2 linked regions of the Lonchura striata genome follow. Each later gene encodes a partner of the first gene's protein in a complex. Links are inferred from orthologs where the notes say so. Each region holds a gene or a part of one and is shown on either strand. Other genes may lie near its edges.

Region 1 (8,279 bases):
GTTTAAAGTACCACTGTTGTTTAAGGAGGGAGCACAATCTGTAGCCTGGGAATGGATACACAGTTGTCCACTGTGAAATACTCTTTCATTTTGGATGCTTTTACTGTGAGTTACTACAGAGCAGAAGGAAACCTTAATCCGTCTTACGTGTTGCTTGCTGCATGTAATACATGATCCTGGGGCCTGCTATGCCCAGTCTCTAAGGAGATTTCCCAATCCTTTCAATGAAAACTGACCTCATTCTTTTCCTGTGCGGTGTTTAATTTGAGCTGAAATTTACTCAAAAAATCTGGGTTTAGACATCTTTTGAAGGAATTGCTGAAAATGGGCTGAAAATGTTTTGCCACCATATCGTATCTCAGTGTTACTGTTTAACTTGAGGGTTCTTGCTCTTTTCAGGAACAGATACAATGCTTCTTGAAGACTATAGCTCAGATGGCCCTCATGCCCCACACTGCATCTGTCCCCCTCGAAGGAGGAGTTCAGTGACATTTGAAGATGAAGTGGAACAAATTAAAGGTGAGTATAGGGGTAAGTATGAAAATGCTCAGAGTCAACTATATTGAGTGCTCAGGAAGCCTCCCAGGACCTTGAGAATTGTCTTGAAAAGTATCTGACCACTGTGTGCCTTGACAGACCCGATCATTCATGCAGGTACAACAGAAAGCAAAATCAGGCCTTTCTTCCAGATCTCAAGTAGCATCAGGCAAGGACAAGAGCTAGAAGCTGGCATTCCCTGCATATATATAAAATTGCAAAGCAGTATCCTGTCTGCAATTTCACTCATCTTGGTGGCTGTAACAAGTTTTGTCTGTTTTGTGTTTCTTGGAGAATATATTATCCTGCCCTCATATTTTGGTTGTATTCAAATGAGAAACATCCCTGTGTTTCTCATTTGCTGTCTCTTCTCAAGTTTGTCACTTACAGACTTGAAATTCTTCCATTTACATACTTCAATAATCTTGAATATAATTTTATCCTGTTTCATTTACTTTTTAACTTAAATTCTACTTTTCTTTACTTTGTGTTCCTCAGCAGGTATGGGTGAAAACAGATTAATCACATGCAACTTGCTTGTTGATTCTGGGATAGCAGAACATTGCTATGATCATCTGTAAAATGTCAGAACATTAATTTATGCTGATAGTTACAATAATTTCAATAGAAGACTTGATAATAACAACTGAATTGTCTAAACAATACATGATTGTGGACAGGATGAAAATGAGCAGAATGCCTTTAAGAAGCAAGTAATAATAAAACCTGATATAATGAGAAAACTGTTTCTATGGAATTTTTAAACATCTTGGCAGAATTCTCTTTTGTCCTTTTCCCACCATGAGATGAATATTTCCTTGTGGAAACACATTAGCATACATTTCCCACTATCTTTCTGAGTGATTATGTAGGAGCAGACATATAATTTCTTGTGAGAGTGAAAGAGGGAAGTCTCAGTGCACAAGTCCCCACAGGTTTTGCAATTCTCCCTGATGAATCTCAGGCTTTTCAGCATCCCTGAGGCTTTAGATTATTTCAGCAGCCTTACTGAAGAGTTACATTTAGGATGAACTCTTGTATTGCTCAACATGTTGGTGGGTAGAGAGGTGTACAGATACTACGAAAATAGGTGCACTGACACATTATCCCAGGTCACTCTGAAACTTTGTGTTCATAGAATGATATAGGGAGCCTGAGTATTGTTGGTAAATGTGTAGTTACTTTGCAGAGGGCATGATCATGCCTTTCCAGCAGGATCTATATTAGTTTTCAAGCATTTGCACAGCCCTGCTTACCAACTGTTACCTTTTTTTTTTTTTTTTTTCCAGAGGCTGCAAAGAATTCTGTTCTTCATGTAAAAGCTGAAGTCCATAAATCTCTGGACAGTTATGCAGCCAGTCTGGCCCAAGCTATAGAAGCTGATGTGAAACTCAGCCTGTTTGGGGAAGATGCTTTACCAGGAGCTCTGTTCCCCTCGTGGACTCTGGCAGGAAGCAGTGGGAACACCCGGCGTGGTGTCAGGCCCCATGCCAGCCAAAGACTGAAGCTGCAGAGCATCGATGAAGGGAACATTTGATATGAGCACTGGAGTAGGAAAACAGAATGAAACCACTAAGAAGGGTCTACTGCAGCTAGTAGTGTTTCACCAGAACCAGGACACGTTGTCGGGATGTTTCCAGTGTTTTTTCAATACCTGGAAACAGCTGGGTTCTGGTACTTGCATTAGCATTTTACAGCAGTGTTTGTTTACTAGTTGGGGTGCGAACAGCAACAGGTGCTACTGACTCTTCTGCCACATCATTATCACAAAGTGCTTAGGAATGCAGGGCTTGGTTTCATTGACCACATCATTAGTCAGTTGAATCTTGGGCCCATTGGCCAAAGCTGATACAGGAAACAAAACAGAAAAGGTATGTGCATTGTTACATCCATCCTCTTCTGACCACCAGGATAATAAGTTGATACTTGACAGCTGGAGTGCTCTGATAGCTCTGGATTGGATAAGAAATAAAGCCTTACTCCCAGCTGAGCAACGTGGACTTCACTAAGGACAAAACTTGAACTTTTCAGAGAGCTCATGCAGATTATGGTCCTACTTAACCTTTACTTGGAGATATTTCTGTCTGTTCAGCCAACAGAATGCCAGATCTGACATTGGACTGTGCTTTGCTTCAGTGGCATGGGATATCAGCTCTTCTGGATGTGATAAATGGGAGTAAACATGTGCTGGGAACAGCACAGAGATGGGATTTGAGGAAATCATTAGTGCAGAATTCTTAGTTTCCCTGAGAATTTCAGCTCATGTTTTGCTGTTACTTAAAGGGCAGTCTGTGGCTGTGCTAAAGTTGACAGAATATAAACAAGATATTATCATTTCATATTCAGGATTCATCTTCTAGAGAGAAGAGAGCTGTTGTTCTGTTTTTTTTTTTAATCATGAGGGAATGTAGTATTTAAGCTGTAGTTACCTCAGTGCTTCTATTTCTTGGAGTATTAATTCATTAATCTCAAAAATAAGAACATTTGGCACTTATATTGCACTTTGCATGTTCTTAAGCACTCTACAGACATTACCTTGTTAGGCCTTTGTGAGAGGGTTGATTGATCAGCCCTGCTTGCCAAAGAAGGGGAACTCAGCACAGCCAAGATGCTGGCAGTGAAACAAACTCCAAAGCTGGCAAGTTTTGTAAGGAAAAGAGGGATGAGGTGGATCATTCAAGAATATCCAGCTTGAGGAACCTTTCTCTGCCTTTGTGGGCTACCCCCTTCCTTATTTTGGGGCGCTAAAGCCCTGCCTTACCATGTATTTCAAAGAGGAGACATAAGTGAGCAGGATCATTCCTTGGGGGTGGGTGTCAGTAGCAAATGGAGTTAAGGACCAAGGGTTTGCATTTGTTTACTCTATGTCTGCTCGTCTGTGCCTCTACCTTTCCCCAGAAGTGCTTTGTATGAGGTTTTGATGCAGATTGTTTGGAAACCAGGAGCAGGATATTTCCATCTGGGCAAAAAACCAGGGTGTGCACTCATTGAATTTTGTCTTTGTGCAACTTATTCAGAAGCACAGAAGCAAAGTGTTGTGAGGCAGAGCCTCGGTCCAGTACTGTATTTAGACATCCTATTTGTCTTTGTTCCTGACTCAGAGATGCATTTCAGCACAAGCTTATGTCCATCTCTGGACAAAGCAACTTGACTTTCTGAACTAGCCTGAATCCCATAGTGTTCCCGTGCAAAATATAACAGCATGCTTAAAATTCAGTACATGGTTTGCTGATTTAAGAACAGGCTGTTAGAGCAAGAACACTTAAACTCCAGAAAGGTGGCTCTTAGCATAATGCAGGAATAAATCAATTAATAATAGGGAAGTTCTAACTCCTGCATTTTTTACTTCTAATGTGTTAGAGACACTGCACCTGTGGGCACTCATTAGGAAAAAAAACAAAAATCCCAGGATTTGCCGGAAACGCCCTGCATCGAGGTCATTATTGCTGTCGTTAACATTACAATCACAGTCGCGGGTACTCAACACTCCTTAAGCTGTACACTTGCCTGGAAGTATTTTGTGTGCTCCCTTTTATTCCGTACTCCTGCTTGAAACAAGTTGAGCAGAGCCGTGGTTGAATATCAGAAAGGCACACACGAGTTTGAATGCATTGTGGAGTAGGTGCTGGCCCAAAACACTGTGTTTAGGAGAAATTCCAAGGCACGCGTGGAAGCACAAAATCCACAGTATCGTGAAAAAAGCACGTTTTTCACACAGGTACTGAGACAAATGCAGCCTTCAGGCAGATCAAGGGGGTTGCAAGTTTACACCATAGCTGAATTCGGCTGCCAGTGTTAATGTCACTAATCTGTTATTTAGTGTAAATGTTGTTCTTATTTTTGTACACACGTTATAACCCTTCCATAATTGTTATTACCAGAGCCGTTCTCTCACTTGTGTTGTCATTAACAAAAGCAGTAATTGAGAAGTGCACACGTTTTGTAAAACTATTTCCCGTCTTAAATTCAGAAGAAAAAATCCAACTTGCTTCCAGTTCGTGATGGTCTGTGGTGTTTGTACCATTATTTCAACTTACATTCATCTTGAAGTATTTTACTTTTAAACGTATGTCCAGCTGGCAGGATGAGCCTGTCCGGCGCGGCAGTTGGAGCCGTTTCCAGGACAGGGAGTATCCCGGGTGGAATACGGCTCCCTCCGCTCCGAGTATGCCACCGCGGCGGGCCTGAGGCCACGCCCCCTTCGCATCTCCCCTCCCGCCCGTTCCCGCCCCCGGGCGCGCGAGGGCTATGCGCGAGGGGAGCGCAGCGCTGCGGCGATTGGCTGCCCCGCCCCTGCCCCGCGCTGATTGGTGGTAGCGTCGGCCCGGCAGGATTGGCCGGTTCAAAGGGCGGGTGCGGTCGCACTGCCCGGCCATGGAGGCAGTGCTGTGCTCCGAGCACGGTGAGGGGCGGTCGGGCTCCCGTGCGGGGTGGTGTGCTGGGGGGCTCGGCCTGACCCGTTCCGCTCTTCTCCGCTCCTCAGGGTCCCTCTGCTTCCTGAAAACGGTCGTCCGCGATGGGCCCAACAAAGGGAAGAGCTTATACGTGTGCGGGACGCAGGGCCCCGCTGCCTGCGGCTTCGTCCTCCCAGCGCCGTAGGTGCAGGGCAGGGGCGGCAGGAGGGGGCCGATGGGACAGGGGCACACTTGGCTGTCCTGAGGGAAGTTCACTGTTGTGTCAGCAGTCGCAAACTTGTTTTCTTATGTAGCCTTTGTTTTGTCGCAAGTGATTGCGTTGCGATGGCAGTCCCCTGGGCAGTTCGTCTTGTCTGTATTCTTCCGCTTCTCCTTTCCTCCTTTCAGGGTTCCTGCTTCTCACTGCTTGATCCATGAGGGGTGCGTGGTGGAGCTACAAGTCCTGGTTCAGCAGCCGGACAGAGATGAATACCAGTAAGTTCCTCAAAGTTTTTAAAAAGCGTATGTCTGCCTTCAAACGGGTAAAGCCTATGTTCAGTGCTTAAAATAATCTTCTCAAACCGATTCTGACTAATGATCATATAGTTTTTACAAGTTTATGTCAGAAAAACTTGAATCCTGTGATTTAAGTAGTTTTTCTGTAGTGAGGATTTAACGTCCACCTAAGCTGTACCTGTGTTTTGTGGGAAAAGGAGGGCTCTTATTTAGAGTATCTCATTTTTATGGCGTCTTTGAAGGCTTACTTTGCAGGCTGTTGCCTCTTAAAAATAAAGATTGTTTTTCTTAGGATCAGGAGCATCTTAGCTGTCTTTATAGTTTATGAAGGAGTGAGAGAGTCGAACTACAAGTCATTCAAAGTGAAAACAGGGTTTATTGCACATATTGAAACTAATGGTGCCAGAGAACCAGAGAGAACTTGGTTTCCTTCTAAAACTGAAGAGTCATTGAGCCTTCAGGCCTGCACTTACCCTGTTTCCAAATGTTTGCCACTTTTGTTAGCAGTTATGTCTAATAGTATAAACCTGGGTCATCAGATAATGTTTGTTTTTAACAGAATTGAACATGGCTCTGTGGTTGGATTCATCCAAACTTAGCGTCAGATTCCACAATATTAGTTCTGATAAAGTATTTGCAGCAGTCCAGGTTGGCTGTTAGTTTAAAAAAGAAATCACATCCAAAGTATTTCTGTCCCTAAGTTGCTATAAAGATGAGGTGGCCTGTGCAGTGTAAGTAAAAGAAGAGCTGTTTCCTTGCACCTTGAAATCTAAGGCTCTAAACATAGACAGTATTTTTGCCTGAGCAGTTACTCTTCTATTGCTAAAATTAAAAAAAAAAAAAACCCAAACCCTAGGAATCTTTATTCAGAGAACACTACTCCTGTAAAAAGCACTGTTGCCAGTGTTCATGGCCTTTTTTTATGCAAAGGTCTGAATGTTAAGTGCAGATTAGTAGAATTTGGCTGTGATGGTCTCTGGTGCAAAGTACTTTTAAAATAATGCTTAGAGCTTTTTTACTGGCTCTTGGGATTGAAATCTTGTTTTAATCCTTGGTAGGTTGTTTTATCGGTGCCTCAAGAGTAAGTTGAATAGGAAGAAATGGTGTGGGAGCGTCCCATGGCAGGTAAGAGTGTTTGTATTATAGTATTGCCTTATTCTGGTGTGACTTTTCATTCCATATACCATAATCACCTCTGAGACTACTTAGTGGGAGATTTTATGTTTTCCACCTTGAAAAGTGTGTCAGGCCTGCTGTCCTCTAGGTGAGATGTCTCTAAGTTGTGTGAAGTACTCACTATTCTTCAGTCTTAGAAGCTTGGATTTGATTCCTGGCTGTCCTCTTTTCTAGAGATTGTGCTACAGGACTTGATCCCAAAAAACAGTGGGAATGGCAAAGAAAGTAGAAAACCAGCCATTTTGTTTTGGATTTCTTATGAAATGTTATCCTGGTTCTGTTAAAAAAATAGGAAAGATGATCTTGGTAGAGGATGAAGTCTTGCTTGATGTGATCAGGTTGTGTGTGTTATTAACATGCTTTAATAATTTGTACACTAGCCATTTACTGACATGTACATATTGTAGGATCCAAAAGCTACCAAAGTCTCAAAACCCTTGGAATCCCAGCCCAGAACAGCACCTTTCTTCAACCCCACAAGACAGAGAAACCCATTCAAAGTGCTAGACAAGAATCGTGCACCATCATCCTGGAAACAAATGAAGCAAGTAAATGGAGAGGAAAGTAAAGCAAAAGGAGCTAAAGCAGAGAATGAGAGTGTGCTGGTATCATGTAAAGAAAAAAATTTAATCTCTGATTCCTTCACAGAGACAGTATCTCTAGAAGAGCTGAAAAATAAAAGGCAGTCATCCACAGGAAGTAGAAGTGATCTAGAACTTCAGGGGACTACAGTGTCTGAATCTAAACTTTGCCTTTTTGAGACCGGGAATGGGGAAAATACACTTTCAGAGGAAGAGAAATATGGTGGCAGTGGCAGGGAATCCAAGAAGCTTTCTGATTGTGTGGACAAGGAGCCAGGCGCAAGATCAAAACTCTTCCCACTAAGTCTTGGAAAGCAAAGTACAAGTACCAAGCCTCCAGGAGAGGAGCAGCTTGGAGAAAAAAGCTTAAAAAGTTGTAGGGATAAAGAAACAAGAAAGAAAGATTACACTGGGCAGAAGAATGATGACATGATGCCAGTGTCTAAGGAAGACGCCCCTTCCTCAGCAGGAGCACAGTCAGCATTCAAGTGTGCTGCCCTGATGGGAGGGGCAGAGGCAGAGCTGCCCAAGGCACAACTTGAGCCAGGGCTGCCAGAGCCTCCTGGTGACACCTCTGGCAGTGACAGTGATGAAGAGCAATTTGTTTGTTCCTCATCAGGTGAAAGTAAACCTGAAAAATCAGTTGAGATTCCATCAGGAAAGAGTGTGCAGGGGACACCTTTGCCAGGAGCAGCAGCATCACATCACATGGAAGGACCCCAGGACCCTAAAGTGCTTCATAACCATCTTCTAGTCCAGCTGAAACAGAAAAAGGTCATTTATTGCATCTATTATTTGGGGAGTGTATTGTTCTGTTTTCAAGGTGACTTCCCTTACTCGTGACAGAATGTGATGTCTCCTTACAACAGAAAGTCAAAATGGGGTTTAGGAAGATGCGGCATGGGAGGGAGTTCAGCCTTTGTACACACTGGTTGTATTAAGCAGCTACACACCAATTACTTCTAAGGTAGTACAATCTTCTGCCTTTGGGGATGCTCAGTTTTGACCCACCTGAGGTTGTGTCTTGTCTTTTACCCGGAAAGTAATTTGCATAAAATGGAATACTGCACAGCCA
Region 2 (8,528 bases), on another chromosome or scaffold:
TTATTCAGGTGGCAACCACTGTTTTTCATCTGCCTTAAGTTTAGCTGCTGGAAACACGAGGAAAGAAATAATAAATATTGTATGATTATGAAGAAGCAACTTTTAACAGCAAAAAGACTAAATCAAAGCCACAAATTGGATGAAAACTAGGAGTTTCAGTGCAGAAGTCTTTTCTGGAAATGGAGTACTCAGATACTATGCAAGTTATGGAAGAAGAGGTAAAATGATAGAGGCAAACCTCAAAAGCATGGACAACAAATTAAAGGCCAGGAAAAAGACTACTCTTTTTGATTATGTACATCTAAGATGTATTTCTTATATGATTGGTGTTCACAGGCCCCAGCCAGCTTTCCTTAGAAGCAGGAAAATAAACATTTAGGTAAAGACTGTGATTTTGATTTTGATAGAGGTTGAGGAGATGGAAGATAATTTATTACAGAAGAATCTGCTTCTGACTGTGAAGACTCTGCAATTCCATACTTTTGGTCACCCAAAGCTCTTGGAATGAAGCCCTACAATGCTTCACAGGAGACTTTTTGGTGCTTGTTTAAGACCAGGCTTCCTGCAGGGTGCCTTTATATCCTCCTAAACCAGAGCTTTCAATAAGACCAGTATTGATCCAAACCTGCTCCTGGAACCACCTCCAGCCTGGAGAATCCTACCTGGGAAAGACCCAGACTGATTCCACATCATATCTGTGCTCTTTGGTTGGCTCTGAAAGGAGCAAATACTTAAAAACCATGAGCTGGAAGCTGCAGCTCAGAAATATCAGCAGAAGGCATCCAGAGCTTTAGCATCAAATATACTCTACTTATTTTGCAGAACAGAAAAGTAAACAGAAATAAATAAATCCAGCTGGTAGGAGAGCTCCCCACTTCCACCAAGGGATGAGGCCATGGTTATCACCAGTCTACATCACCTAACACTTCCCATTTTGGGTTCACTGTTCAGAACACAAGCACTGTGACTGGAAGCTCTCCAGACTGGCTTCCTGCTAGCTCACTTTTTTATTTTTCCTCTTATCAAACAGCTTTTGGGCTTCAAAAGCAACATTAAGGAAAAACACAAAGCTTTCAGTGGTGTTAGCTGCCATGTCTGCATGTGCCAACTGGACAAGACCAAATTGTCTCAGGCACTCCTTTACTTCACAGCTACAAACACACAAATTGCCCAGCTGGGTCCCTAAAACCATTACAATGTGTAAGGATACAACAGAGTCCAAGAGAAAATAAAAAGTTTCCTCACAATGTATCAGGAGAGAGTCCAGACAGGAACTTTGCTGTATCCAAAACTATTTTGGAATATTATTGTAAAAGGAGATTCAGGTTGCAGTAAGTGAATTACAAAAAAAATCTTAAAAATGTGAGAACAGAACAGGACCTGGCACCCAAACATGCCCCCCTGACCACTGGGTTTGGATCATCTCCCAGATTCCACCTCATTTCTCATCCAGCAAAACAGACTGTGCTTCAGAACCAAACCAGGGCAGGAAAAAGGGAAACTCTCTCTGTCAGACCCTGCCCTGCTGCAGGTAAGACACAAAACAGATATCTGAAGAGGCCCTCACAATTACAGGTGTTACAGTTCTCTCCTCCAGATGGGATTTCTTTAGGAATTCTTCTACAATAGCATGCAAGACACTGAGACTGAGTATTTTATAAGCTGTGTTCTCTCAGCTCCTCCATCTACAGCTTTCAAAAGTACAAATAATTCAAATTTACATGGAATATAATGTATATTGTGATCACTGTTGTATAAAAACACTAGGAGGAAAAAAAATGGATGATACTTCAAATTTCAAGTTGAATATCCAGAATAATCTTTGACTTTAACTGGTTTATTGTGTCATCATCTTATGGAACACCATCCTGTCTCATATAGATGATCATTATTGTGTATGTTCAGCACAAATAAGACCCTAAAATACATGAGGAATTCTCTTCCATGAGAAGTTTAATGGCTTTACCAGCTAAAGCAGGTATTTAAAAACCTGGTTTAAATGCCAACACACTCATGCACTGAGCACTGTCAGAAAGCACTGAGAGGTGCAACACAGCTGGGTGAGCAGGGCCAGCCTGGGCTCTGCAGGGCCAGGCAGGGCTGGAGCACACAACTCCAGCTCTCAGGTGGGGTGGGATGGGGTGTTTGTGTGATTTAAAATACCACAGCACCCATCCCAGTGCTGTGACACCCATCCCAGTGCCCTGGTACCCATCCCAGTGCTGTGGTACCCATCCCAGTGCTGTGGTACCCATCCCAGTGCTGTGACACCCATCCCAGTGCTGTGGTACCCATCCCAGTGCTGTGACACCCATCCCAGTGCTGTGGTACCCATCCCAGTGCTGTGACACCCATCCCAGTGCCCTGGTACCCATCCCAGTGCTGTGACACCCATCCCAGTGCTGTGACACCCATCCCAGTGCTGTGGTACCCATCCCAGTGCTGTGACACCCATCCCAGTGCCCTGGTACCCATCCCAGTGCCGTGGTACCCATCCCAGTGCTGTGACACCCATCCCAGTGCTGTGACACCCATCCCAGTGCTGTGACACCCATCCCAGTGCTGTGGTACCCATCCCAGTGCTGTGACACCCATCCCAGTGCTGTGACACCCATCCCAGTGCTGTGACACCATCCCAATGCCCCCGTACCCATCCCAAAGCTCCGTTCCCATCCCAATGCCCCCGTACCCATCCCAGTGCCTCCGTTCCCATCCCAGTGCTGCGGCACCCAAAGAAGGCAGGAGAGCCAAGATTTCTTCAGCAATGACCAAAACATAGAACAAACGAACAAGGGCACCCTGATGCCAAGCTCTGCTCTGGCAGGAGCGTGCGGCAGGACGTTTTCAGAGATCCCTTCCAGCGAGGGCTCTCCCACCCCTGACCCAGCCCAAGGCATGGGCGCGATGTCTCCAGCACTCCACTCAGCCCTGACTGCTGAACTCAAGCTAACAAAAACCCCAGCCTACTTCCAAGCTGACAGATGTACCGGACACATCTCCCGAACAGGATATCTAGTTCCTACCACAACACGGATTCTGCCTGAGCTCTGAGGAAAAAACTCGGCACCCCAGGGAGGGCCCGGACCCCCGCGGCGCTGTCGATGGCGGCACCGAGGGCCGCGCCCTGACCCCGCCGGCCCGGCCAGCACTCTGCGGCACCGGGAGCGCAGCCCCGCGCCCCTCCGCCCCTCGGCGCCGCCGCTCACCAGCTCGGGCACTCGAACAGGGACCCGCCGCCCGCCGGGGCCGCGCTCGCCGCCATCTTGGCTCTGCCCCATTCAGCCGGCGCGGGGCACCATGGGAGGCGCGATCGGCGCGCGGCGATCCCGGCGTGCCCCGCGCGGCGCTGGGCGGGGCCTGGCGGGGCCACGCCCCCGAGGGCTGGCCCCGCCCCCGCCCGGCCGGTACCGACCCGGGACAGGGAACAGAGCCGGTACCGACCCGGGACAGAGCCGGTACCGACCCGGGACCGGGGAACAGAGCCGGTACCGACCTGGGACAGAGCCGGTACCGACCCGGGACAGAGCCGGTACCGACCCGGGACAGGGAACAGAGCCGGTACCGACCCGGGACAGAGCCGGTACCGACCCGGGACAGGGAACAGAGCCGGTACCGACCCGGGACAGGGGAACAGAGCCGGTACCGACCCGGGACAGGGAACAGAGCCGGTACCGACCTGGGACAGAGCCGGTACCGACCCGGGACAGGGAACAGAGCCGGTACCGACCCGGGACAGAGCCGGTACCGACCCGGGACAGGGAACAGAGCCGGTACCGACCCGGGACAGAGCCGGTACCGACCCGGGACAGGGAACAGAGCCGGTACCGACCTGGGACAGAGCCGGTACCGACCCGGGACAGAGCCGGTACCGACCTGGGACAGAGCCGGTACCGACCCGGGACCGGGGGACAGAGCCGGTACCGACCCGGGACAGAGCCGGTACCGACCCGGGACCGGGGGACAGAGCCGGTACCGACCCGGGACAGAGCCGGTACCGACCCGGGACAGGGAACAGAGCCGGTACCGACCTGGGACAGGGGGACAGAGCCTGTGCCGACCTGGGACAGAGCCGGTACCGACCCGGGACAGAGCCTGTACCGACCCGGGACAGAGCCGGTACCGACCCGGGACAGGGGGACAGAGCCGGTACCGACCCGGGACAGGGGAACAGAGCCGGTACCGACCCGGGACAGAGCCGGTACCGACCCGGGACAGGGCCGGTACCGACCCGGGACAGAGCCGGTACCGACCCGGGACAGGGGGACAGAGCCGGTACCGACCCGGGACAAGGGAACAGAGCCGGTGCCGACCCGGGACAAGGGAACAGAGCCGGTACCGACCCGGGACAGGGGAACAGAGCCGGTACCGACCCGGGACAGAGCCGGTACCGACCCGGGACAGGGGAACAGAGCCGGTACCGACCCGGGACAGAGCCGGTACCGACCCGGGACAGGGGAACAGAGCCGGTACCGACCCCGGGACAGGGGAACAGAGCCGGTACCGACCCGGGACAGAGCCGGTACCGACCCGGGACAGGGAACAGAGCCGGTACCGACCCGGGACAGAGCCGGTACCGACCCGGGACAGGGAACAGAGCCGGTACCGACCCGGGACAGGGGGACAGAGCCGGTGCCGACCCGGGACAGAGCCGGTACCGACCCGGGACAGAGCCGGTACCGACCCGGGACAGGGGAACAGAGCCAGTACCGACCCGGGACAGGGGAACAGAGCCAGTACCGACCCCGGGACGGGGGGACAGCCCCGGTACCGACGCTGGAACGCGGGGACAGTGCCGGTACCGAGTACCGCGGGGACAGCGCCTCTGTCCGAGCAGAACCCGGGGCACGGCCCGTACGAGCACACCGGCCTTTCTGCCTCTGTCCCGGCCGGCCCCGGCCCGCAGCCGCCCCGGGCGGGCACAGCCGCGCTCGCTGCCCGGCTCTCACGGCCGGCCGGGATCCCCGAACGCCTCGAATGGGGTCGAACGCACATCTGAGAGCCAGACTCTGCAGTAACAAGCACGGGATGTTCCAGTTCTCCAGACGGATTTTCAGGCTCGGGAACGTGAGACGAGAGCGTTAAAATCACCGGTTCTAGCGCCGCGAACCGCTGAGAGGTGCGGCACAGCCGGCTCCCTCCTCTGTGTAGGGGAGAAAGGAGTCAAGCAGCTACAAAAACCCTGAGCTCAGCACCCTGCACCCTCAATTCCAATTTCCAGGGGACTAAAACAGGCTAGGAGAAGGATGGAGCACACAAATAATGCTCCTGTTTAGGTGTGGTGACCTAACAAACAAACTAAAGCTAAGTGCTTTTGTTCTTCTATGGCAGTGTGACACCCAAAGGACTCTGTCTGGCAGCAGGCATGCACAAATCAATAGGTTTCAAATCAATAGCTCCTACCATTTCCAAGGAAAACTTTAAAAAAGGAGCAGAACAACACAAAGGTCACATGCTTTCAAGTCAGATTTTATCATACAGGCTTGCAAATGGCTTCAAGTTCTAGCAAAAGGCAAATAGAGCTGACCCAATGCTGCTCTGAGGTATGAGATTCATTTTTCTGGGATCACCTATTGTACAGGACGCTGCACAGAAGTCTTGTGTATGTCCTTGGAAATTAATTTCATTATTTCAGGGAGTTTCATTCTGAAAAATCAGGGACCACAGAATTAAAGCTGCAGGAAACACTACTGTGCTGATGTAACGTCCTCTACTCTGCAAACACACCTGTGCCAATGTGTAAATTGCAAGAGAAATGAGCTCTGACAGAGGCTTTTAAAAGTGTTTATTGATAATTATTGGATGGAATGACGGCGCAATAGTGCAAACCACTGTGCAATTGGGAGAACACTCTTCCCAGCTTTCATGTTTACTTTATTATAGACGAGACATGGAATAAGGATTAAATACAAAATGGGTCAGTATACTGCATTTACCACCCCCACCGGGTTTTGGACAGATTACTGTTCCCAGTGCATGTCAGTTCAGAGCTACATTGAAGTGGGGAGTGGCTGCTGGTTCTGCCCAACCCTATGAGCTGGAACCAGCAACCCTTTTCATTTGCACACACCTCCCCAGTCTGGAAAACCTAGCACTTCACTCAGCCAGTTTCTGCACTTTCTATTTCATAAAGATTTGAAAATACCAAATGTTCACAAGCCACACATAACATTTACTAGGACACTACAAGTGAACTTCAAGAGCACTTCTTCAGAATCAAGATTTCTGCTAACACTCTTCACTAATGTTGCTAGCTTGTAAACTTAGGTGCCCACTTCCTCATTTTTAAGTGTTTTTTCCCCTGGAAGCTTCTAAAAACAGTTGGGAGTGAGCAGCTAAACTTTTTATATTTAGTGCTTGAGTCAGCATTGGAAGAGATTTATTTGTCCACTAGCAAGCAACCAGCTAGTTTGTCTAAGGAGATTGCACTGTTATTCTAAGTCAAAGAACATTCTGTCCTCAAGTGCATTTTGTGAAATAAAAAACAACCCCAACCACACCCAAAAAATTAAACACAGTTATGAGTCTCAAGGCTAAACTGACCAGCATGTTCAAATCATCATCCACACATACCCTCCTTGCCTCTCAAATCTGTGACAACATCCTTTTCTTCAAGAGAATCTAGAACCACAGCCACTTGGAGACAATAAAACCATGGGGCAGATACTGGAGACTTTAGAAACTGCTGGATTTACATAATGTGACTTGGTGGTGGGCTGTCTTTGAATGGCATTTGCATTCCAGTCCAACAAAGTTACCTACGTGTACAAAATGTTGAAGTTGTGCGACTTGTCAAAAACAAGACCTCTCCAATTATTGATCACATTTCAGCATACAGCTGGGACAGGGAAGAACACATTACAGAAAGCAAAACCACAAGATTTTAGTTACATAAAACAATATAATTTGTATATAAACTGATAAATACTGTCTCCATGGTTTACTAATTCCAAATACTAGTTACCTGCACGTTAGTTGCTAATATCTATTATTAGAAGTAGTTCCAACTTTTGCTCTCTCAGGGTGGTCAATTCAGCTCCAAGACCAGTCAGCCTGTTTGCTCTGACAGAAAAAATCTCAGCTGTGAGACTGGTTTCCATGGGAAGATTTCAGTTCAACTTCCAGATAAGGAGTCCTATGATTATACAGGCCACAGCAAGGCCAAGAATCAGGATACAGATCTTCTTACGGGATTTCTTCTAATAAGAGAAGAAAAAAGAAGCCACTGACACCAGGAACACTTGAGGAAAAAGCAAGGCTACCATTCATGTTACTAACTTGGGTGAACAAGAGCCCTTGGTACCCCCACAGTTAGAGAGAAGTAACCAGTGTAGTCTGAACATTTTTACATGTTCCTTAAACTCCATGATTCTACAGATGAATGTTTTTAATTTTAGGAGTGCAGTGGTCTAAGAGATGCAGTTAAGTCAAAATTTGACAGGTTTTGCTTCTCTTAATGAAAATACAAGCCTCAGAGAAGGCCAAACCTTTCTAGCTATTTACATTTTTTCCTAATCAAACTCCTAAGCAGTTCTCACATACAATCTCCCCTTGGCCACTTGGGCTTGGTGTTGCATTTCTACAATTTAAATTATTTCATGTACAGTTACTGAACTTGGATTTTACAGCTTTGCTCACTTTATTCATCACAGGAAACTACAGGCCTTCCATATACACCAAATATTTTTAACTTGGCATCTAAGGATTTGATATATAACCACTTCTTTCTCCATCCAGGAAAAAACCCCATGCAAAACATATCCAACAGCTCTGAAACTTAGATTTATAAATACCTCAGAACTTTGGCAAGGAAGCCATGGAGAGAGAGACTGCTACTACATGCTGCCAGATGGTAAAAGCAACATTCCCACCCTTGCACTCAACAGCACTGGAGTTTTATTGCCCTCCAGTACCTCCCACTTAACAGCTTGGAAGAGTCCAGTATTTTCTTGTGTAAGTCCCAGCAGTAATGGACTGACTAAAGCAGAACCCTTACCCCTTCACAGAAGCTGGAGCTAGAGGGACAAGGATGGTGACAGGAACCTACAGGAAACACTGGATCCCATACAGCAGTGAGAGCCACTGCAAGAGATTTGATGGAGCACAAACTATGGGATAGAAGCTCAGCAGCTGGATAGGAGTGCTGCAAATCCTGGTCACCAGAGTGACCAGACCTGAGTCTGGGCACAGATTTTTGCATGTCAGTGTCTTGGCTGATATCTTCAAAAGTTGCATATGATATCAGAATTTGTTCTTGTTTCTTCTGCTAACTCCTAACAACAACAAAGACAGGTAAACACTTAGGCTTGCAGAGTGTGAAGGGCCAGACCCTATTTCTACTCTTTTAGTCTAAAGTAGAAGGTGAATTTCAATACCATGTTTTTGACTCAAGTGCTTTATATACTCCTTGCAGGCAATTTTGAATGAATGCCAACTTGCATGAGCTGGTTTTAATAAGCAGTCTGGTGTGCTGCAGTCCTCAGTGTCTTGCTCTGCCTGTTTCATTAGTGCTCAACCATACACTGACAATC

The links.
Region 2: TTF2 (region 1) and PPP1R8 share a complex: the UniProt entries of both Homo sapiens proteins name them as parts of the spliceosome. The link is inferred for Lonchura striata from reciprocal best matches to the Homo sapiens genes TTF2 and PPP1R8.

The regions. Positions count from the first base shown.
Region 1 is NC_134604.1:23,224,173-23,232,451, reverse strand, and holds the start of TTF2 (transcription termination factor 2), read left to right. Parts: upstream 1-4,874; 5' UTR 4,875-4,911; coding exon 4,912-5,132; intron 5,133-5,339; coding exon 5,340-5,426; intron 5,427-6,505; coding exon 6,506-6,572; intron 6,573-7,030; coding exon 7,031-7,978; intron 7,979-8,279. Other genes in the region: GPR161 (G-protein coupled receptor 161), read left to right, coding at 400-519, 1,827-2,074. UniProt on the Homo sapiens protein: DsDNA-dependent ATPase which acts as a transcription termination factor by coupling ATP hydrolysis with removal of RNA polymerase II from the DNA template. May contribute to mitotic transcription repression. May also be involved in pre-mRNA splicing.
Region 2 is NC_134628.1:5,420,274-5,428,801, forward strand, and holds the start of PPP1R8 (nuclear inhibitor of protein phosphatase 1), read right to left. Parts: upstream 3,326-8,528; 5' UTR 3,263-3,325; coding exon 3,207-3,262; intron 1-3,206. Other genes in the region: STX12 (syntaxin-12), read right to left, coding at 7,107-7,196. UniProt on the Homo sapiens protein: Inhibitor subunit of the major nuclear protein phosphatase-1 (PP-1). It has RNA-binding activity but does not cleave RNA and may target PP-1 to RNA-associated substrates. May also be involved in pre-mRNA splicing.